Linked DNA regions of Saccharomyces cerevisiae S288C. The protein of the gene in region 2 interacts with the protein of the main gene of each other region in a biochemical or structural test. Each region holds a gene or a part of one and is shown on either strand. Other genes may lie near its edges. The genes, in order: OM45 and FUN14.

Region 1 (3,977 bases), on a different chromosome or scaffold from region 2:
TTCGGCATCACCACCTCAGCATATGAACTTCACCAACCCTTTCATCATATCTAGACGTTACTCTAACACAACGATCAACAATGCCAATGGGGGAACCAGCGCTGGAAGCACTACGGGGGCCGCACTATCAAGATCGCCATCGAACCAACAGTACTTACTTAAACAACAAAGGTCACCTTCAGGGAGCGCCCGTTCAAGAAGAAACAGCAATAGGCCCGGCAGTGCTGCCAACATTATGATCGGGAAACCTAAATCCAAATTCCATATGGAATCCAGTGGCAGTGAAGGGTTTTCTTCCGAAGAGGAGGACAACACTATGATTGAAAGAGATAAACTCAATCTAAAGCAAAAATTGCAGTCACAACTGGCACAACCACCATCAATTGCCAACATGGTTAACGATAATCACAATAATACTAATAAACACAAGAATACTATTAATAATAACATCAAAAATAGCCCTGCGTTCACAAACTCGAATCCAAGTTCAAAATCAAATTCAAACTCTACAATAACCTCTATGAATCCAGACACAACCAAATAAAGAAAACTGAAGGGCCGCGATTGTTCATTTCTTCAACCTTCTTCTCCTACTCTAAAAATTCATTTAAGTCTCTTTTTTCCATATATATAGATATATAACGGTATTTTATGTATGCACGTATACCCCAATAATGCCACTAATTTACTCCGTTTTCCAATCCATAATCAGCAAAGACCATATGTGATTTCAAATATAAAAAATGAGAAACATGTGAATATGTATATATGTTATGCGGGAACCAACCCTTTACAATTAGCTATCTAACTAGTCCTTTTTCGAGCTCCAGAATTTACCATCACCCTTATCATTCCATTCTTTGAATTTGTTCTTGGCTTCATCGTACTTTTTCAACGCTTCATCGTACTTCTTTTGGGCCTCATCTTTTAAAGCCTGCTTGTCATTGTCGACCTTGGAAGTCCATCCAGACCACCAGTGGCTGCCGTACTGTTTCAAGTCCTCCTTCGCCTTAGATAACGAGTCCATGGCATCGGACACGTTCTTATCCAGTTGTTTCTTTGAATTCTCATAATTCCATCTTAAATCGTCCATTTCGTCCTTGGAAAGTTGAGCGGCTGTTTCACCCCATCCTTCTAAACCTCTGGCTACCCGTTCAGCAATCTGTTGCTCGCTTTGCTCCCCTTTGTTGTAACCAAACCAGCCCTTTTCCTTGATCTTCTTCAGCTCGTCAAGACGTTTTTGCGCCTCGCTTGGCTCTGAAGAAGCATTTCTCTTGGCTTCCTCCAACTCTTCTCTACCAAACTCCTGTGCCGTATCACCCCAGCCTTGGACACTTCTTGCAGCGGCTTCTTCAGTATTAGCGTCACCCGTGTTATTCTTCAACAGGCGTTTCAAAGGATTACTGTTCCTTTCCTGTTGGTCTAGCTTGTCCGAAAGCTCATTAAAGTCTCTGGCTCTCCCGTACCTTTCGTACTCAATGGATGCTCTGTCCAGAGCGGCCTTCTTCTCTCTCATCACCGTGGACAAGAGCTCCTTCTCATTACGATCCACTGCCTCTTCGAAACGCTTCTTAGCAGTATCAAATTCCCCGATGGCTATGGCTTTCCTTCTTTCAGCCTCACTAAACCCCCAATTGAAGATGCTTTGCGAGGAAGAATCCTTGGCTTTTTGGCCTAGCTGCTTGCGTGTCTGAGCATCCTCTTCCGGTGATATCACACGCTTAGTTACCTTTGGAGCCTCTTCCCTAGCCTTTTGAGATACGCCCAGAAGCGCGTCTTTTAACGACAAGGCATCTTCCTTTATGCCTTGCTTTATGTTATGTAGCTTTCCCAACTGTGGGGGTGCTGAACTGCCGTACTCCTGGCCGTTGTAGTAAGCGGAGACGTTGCCCTCTCTTCTCTGACCCTTGGCCTTCTGTTCTCTGACCATGATGCTAGCTGTGATGGCAGCTGCCAATGCTGCACTGCCGACAATTATTCTTGATGACATCCTTATCTGCTTGTTTTATTAAATGATTAACGTTACTGGCCAATCAAAAATACCCTTTATTTCAAGAAAGGGCAAAGAAGCAGGACTTTAGCAAGAACCGTTTCCCCTTATATATACTCCTCTTCAAGGAACTCGACAAAATAAGGGTCAACAAACTCCTCCCTTAACCCACACGGGCCACCGGCGAGCTTGTGCTCCTGCGAATAGCAGTACACTATTGGTTGTTGCAAATCCTGACGATTCACTTTCAAACACCATGCAGGCAGGAGAGTCAAACAAGACTGTTTGCTGTGTTATTGTCACCGCTGATGGTTGTGATGACCACCGCTTACCTATGACGAGGGGCAACGTCTTCACATTTCATGTTTACCACCAATATGCCAATTATTTTAAGAAATCTGCATAACAGAAGGACGCCAGCTGGCCATAGCATTTATAGATTCCTGCATTAATGTAACCGTCCGCACACCGTATGTATCAGCTTGTCAATTATTATATGAAATGTATATATATTTACGAACTTCAATTTTGTCAACATATTTCTGGAACAAGACTGGCTGGAACGGCTCAGCACACACAGGACAGAATATCAAAATTCTCGAGTACTTTGAGAACCCCCTTCAAGTGAGGTACCACCCTTGGTTGTAGTCTTGTATATTAATCCTTCTTTTCTTTAGTATAAATCGATCCTTTCTATTATACAATTCGCCGGTAATTTTTCAGTGAAAAACGAGTTTTGCAGTCAAACCATTCCTGGATGTGCTATACAAAAAAAAGGTCCGAAGACGTGTAAAGGATATATAACGCCAGGTTGATCATCACTAACCATCATGTCTGATAATTTGTTATCTTTAGAGAATCCGGTGGTGCCTAGTCACTATGAGTTGCGTCTAGAAATTGACCCTAAGCAGTCGTCGCCCAATTTCAAAGGATCCGCCATAATCCATTTGAAATTCAATCCGAACTCCACCACCTTAGCTTCTATCGAAGACAGTTTTACCCAGTTCAAGTTACATTCCAAGGATTTGATTGTGTTGTCTGCACATGCCACCATAGGGTCTACTAAGTTTGATCTAAAAATTTCTCAGGACACTGGAAAGCATTTGTCGATTTTCAACTCTGAATCTCCTATTCAATTGTCCAACGATTGCCCTCTGATTTTGTCCGTGCAATACGTGGGTAAAATTCGTGACATAAAAACACATCATGATAAGACTTTTGGTATTTTCAAAACCAATTTTATGGATCGTAAAACCGGTACTGCCAATAATCACGTCGTTGCTACTCACTGCCAACCGTTTTCCGCTAGCAATATTTTCCCATGTATTGACGAGCCTTCAAACAAGTCCACTTTTCAATTGAACATTGCAACGGATGCACAATATAAAGCCGTTTCCAATACTCCTGTAGAGATGGTCGAAGCTTTGGATAGTTCTCAAAAACATTTGGTGAAATTTGCCAAGACACCTTTGATGACTACTTCCGTATTTGGTTTTTCTATTGGTGATTTAGAATTTTTGAAAACGGAAATCAAGTTGGAAGGTGATAGGACTATTCCCGTTTCAATTTATGCACCTTGGGATATTGCTAATGCAGCTTTCACTTTAGATACAGTCCAGAAATATCTACCTTTGTTGGAATCCTATTTTAAATGTCCATACCCTCTGCCAAAGTTAGATTTCGTCCTACTACCATATTTAAGTGACATGGCAATGGAGAACTTTGGTATGATCACCATCCAACTAAACCACCTGCTCATACCACCAAATGCCTTGGCCAATGAAACCGTCAGAGAGCAAGCACAGCAACTCATTGTCCACGAACTCGTTCATCAATGGATGGGCAACTACATATCTTTTGACTCGTGGGAATCTCTTTGGTTTAATGAGTCTTTCGCTACTTGGTTAGCTTGCCACATACTAGAACAGAATGGTGACCTATCCCATTATTGGACCTCGGAACCTTATTTACTACAGCAAGTGGAGCC
Region 2 (3,300 bases):
AAATCTACAATTGCTCTACCCTCTTTCTTCATTGTTTTAATTTTGGCGTTGGTCAATTCAGTGGCTGCATCTTCCAGTTATGCACCAGTTGCTATCAGTTTACCAGCATTCAGCAAAGAATGCCTGTACTACGATATGGTTACTGAGGATGATTCCCTGGCTGTGGGTTACCAAGTTCTAACCGGTGGTAATTTTGAGATTGATTTTGATATTACTGCTCCTGATGGATCTGTGATTACTAGTGAGAAACAAAAGAAGTACTCAGACTTTTTATTAAAATCGTTTGGAGTGGGGAAGTATACCTTTTGTTTTTCCAATAACTATGGTACAGCGTTGAAAAAGGTAGAAATTACACTAGAAAAGGAAAAAACTTTGACTGACGAGCATGAAGCTGATGTCAATAACGATGACATTATTGCCAATAACGCCGTGGAGGAAATAGATAGAAACTTGAACAAAATCACGAAGACTTTGAACTATTTGAGAGCCAGAGAATGGAGAAACATGTCTACCGTCAATTCCACCGAATCAAGGTTGACTTGGTTATCTATATTGATTATCATTATCATTGCCGTTATAAGTATTGCCCAAGTTCTACTTATTCAATTCCTCTTCACTGGTCGTCAAAAAAATTACGTTTAAGAACTTTTCAATCTACGAAAAATATATGTCCGCAATATAGAACACAATTAGGTTTATATTCGACGTGATTTTTTTTTCTTCCTTAGCCCTATGTATATTTACTGTATAGGATAAATGAAATACCAAAAATAAAAAAGTATAAAACGAAAGAATATAACCCTCGTTTATATCTGGTCATTTGTCTTGCTCATTTGTTAGCATTTAAACTTGCTAATACGAAACTCAATGTAAAGAATACTTTAAAACCCATGTATTCTGTACCCAATAACCCATCAATAAGCAGTTTCTTCAAGTCTACATCTTTCAAAACAATTACAGATTTGATATTTTTCAAATTAATGCGAATCCATCCCTTGTACCGTAACCATTCACAAAGAAGCATGCTTGTAATACCGACATACATAAACAAAATTGATATCTTAGCCACCGTAACTCCTAAAACAACACCGAATAATGATCCCAAAAACATCTGCTTGTGACTACTTATTTTGTTCCTCCTTTCCTCGGTAATTGCCGTACTGTTGCCCACAGTTGGTTCCAAGGGACCCTGTTGTTTGACAGCTGCCCCTAAAGAATCATTGAATATCAACTTAGAAGGCTGGCGATTCATCAAGTAAAAGCCACCAGCAACTATGCCAGCACCGCCTAACCCTACAGAGCGAGTTAAGGGCTTTCCTAATTTATTGGCGACATTAAACCTCCATAAGGGGACGTTCTTGAACATGCGCTTCCCAACATTCAAATTACGAAACACCAACCGTTGCATATTAAAAGCCAAAGTCATTTTACACCTATTATTTTAAGTTCTTCCTTCTTGCCCCTCTAGCGTTATGCTGTTGTATGTATAATAAGATGCCTTGTTTAACCAATTTCAACAACCCCTAGGTTTTCTAGCACTTGTTGGAAAACTTAAATATGAAATGACGGATTTGTAAAATTTTCACGACACAACAGCTTCACTTCTAATAATGTATAAAATATAATTTATGTGTGAACATAGATGGTTACAATTTTACATAGGTAAATATGACCTCTTATTCGAAGGAAGAAGCCCTCCAACTCTTTCATTCTGATTTAGGTCGGAGTTCGTGCGCTTGTTTGCGTCTTCTAGCACCTTCCCTGGCCCAAAACTCGTCTCTATAAATCTCCCATCCTTCTCTAATCTCTGCACTAAATGCTCTGGGGTTGAGGACTAATTTCACATCCACAGCTCCGATCCTCGGTTGGGATTGTATCGTGACACTTTTCCAAAATTTCACAATGGCATTATCGTCTTTAAGCCACAGAAATTTTTTCAAACAATAAATATTACAATAAGCAATTGTTCGACTCACAAATCTTACTGAATCTGTGTATTTCTCGTCCCACGTAGACTGTACTTTAACTAGCTTCACATTAAACTGCCTAATCCCTTTATTAGTAGAGGTAAAAAATCTTCTTGGAATGACGATAGTTCTTCTATATTGTCCACTGATATGAAAAAGAACTACAGTAATGGAAATGAAAGAAAGAGTGAATTGCAAAATAACCCTATGGAGGCCCTTGACATAATCTGAAGTGAAATAAAGTTCGTAGAAGGTAAATGCGCCTACACCGGCCATAGACGCTAAGAACAAAGTGAATTGCCACTTCAGTATCTTTTGTTCGTGAGCTTGGCGTCTTAAATCATCCTCCAGTATCAACAAATTCCTGAAAATCATCGATGCTGGAGAGATATTACTGGAGTTCCGTATATTCTTCGCACTGGATGTCTTGCTAGTAGAACGCCTGCGAGGCCCGGACACTATACTGGCACTATCATCCTGGGCATGGTTCCCCACATCGCCTATGCTCTCTGGCTCCATGACCTCCTTTATTTAGCTTTCCACTACCTTTCTTCCTTTGTGTGTATAATCAATAGATTTTCGCTAAATTTCGCATCTTCCCTTTTAAGAATAATTAGTATTTAATTTTACTTTGACTTTATTGTTGAGTGAAGAAACAAAGCAAATATACGTTAGGAAAAAGACACGAACAGAGAAGACCGATCTTGATGCTACCCTATATGGACCAAGTACTAAGGGCATTTTATCAGAGCACCCATTGGAGTACGCAAAATAGCTACGAGGATATAACGGCCACATCGAGAACATTATTAGATTTCCGAATTCCCTCAGCAATACACCTGCAAATTTCCAACAAATCTACTCCCAATACATTCAATTCTTTAGATTTTTCTACGAGGTCCAGGATAAATGGTTCTCTGAGTTATTTATACTCCGATGCACAGCAATTGGAGAAATTCATGCGCAACTCTACTGATATCCCATTACAAGATGCCACCGAAACATACAGACAATTGCAACCAAACCTCAATTTCAGTGTTAGTAGTGCGAATACGTTGAGTAGTGACAACACCACAGTCGACAATGACAAGAAATTACTACATGACTCGAAATTTGTTAAAAAATCCCTTTATTATGGTAGAATGTACTACCCCAGCTCTGATTTAGAAGCAATGATAATAAAACGACTAAGTCCACAAACCCAATTTATGCTTAAGGGTGTCAGTAGTTTCAAAGAAAGCTTAAACGTTTTAACGTGCTATTTTCAAAGAGATTCTCACCGCAATTTACAGGAGTGGATATTTTCCACCAGTGATCTATTATGTGGTTATAG

What was found.
Region 1: the proteins of FUN14 (region 2) and OM45 form a complex in vitro, tested with the Saccharomyces cerevisiae proteins (one study listed by BioGRID).

What each region holds. Positions count from the first base shown.
Region 1 is NC_001141.2:91,632-95,608, reverse strand, and holds OM45 (Om45p), read right to left. Parts: upstream 1,991-3,977; coding exon 809-1,990; downstream 1-808. Other genes in the region: VHS2 (Vhs2p), read left to right, coding at 1-544; TMA108 (Tma108p), read left to right, coding at 2,821-3,977.
Region 2 is NC_001133.9:135,040-138,339, reverse strand, and holds FUN14 (Fun14p), read right to left. Parts: upstream 1,427-3,300; coding exon 830-1,426; downstream 1-829. Other genes in the region: ERP2 (Erp2p), read left to right, coding at 1-642; Nem1-Spo7 phosphatase regulatory subunit SPO7, read right to left, coding at 1,707-2,486; MDM10 (Mdm10p), read left to right, coding at 2,675-3,300.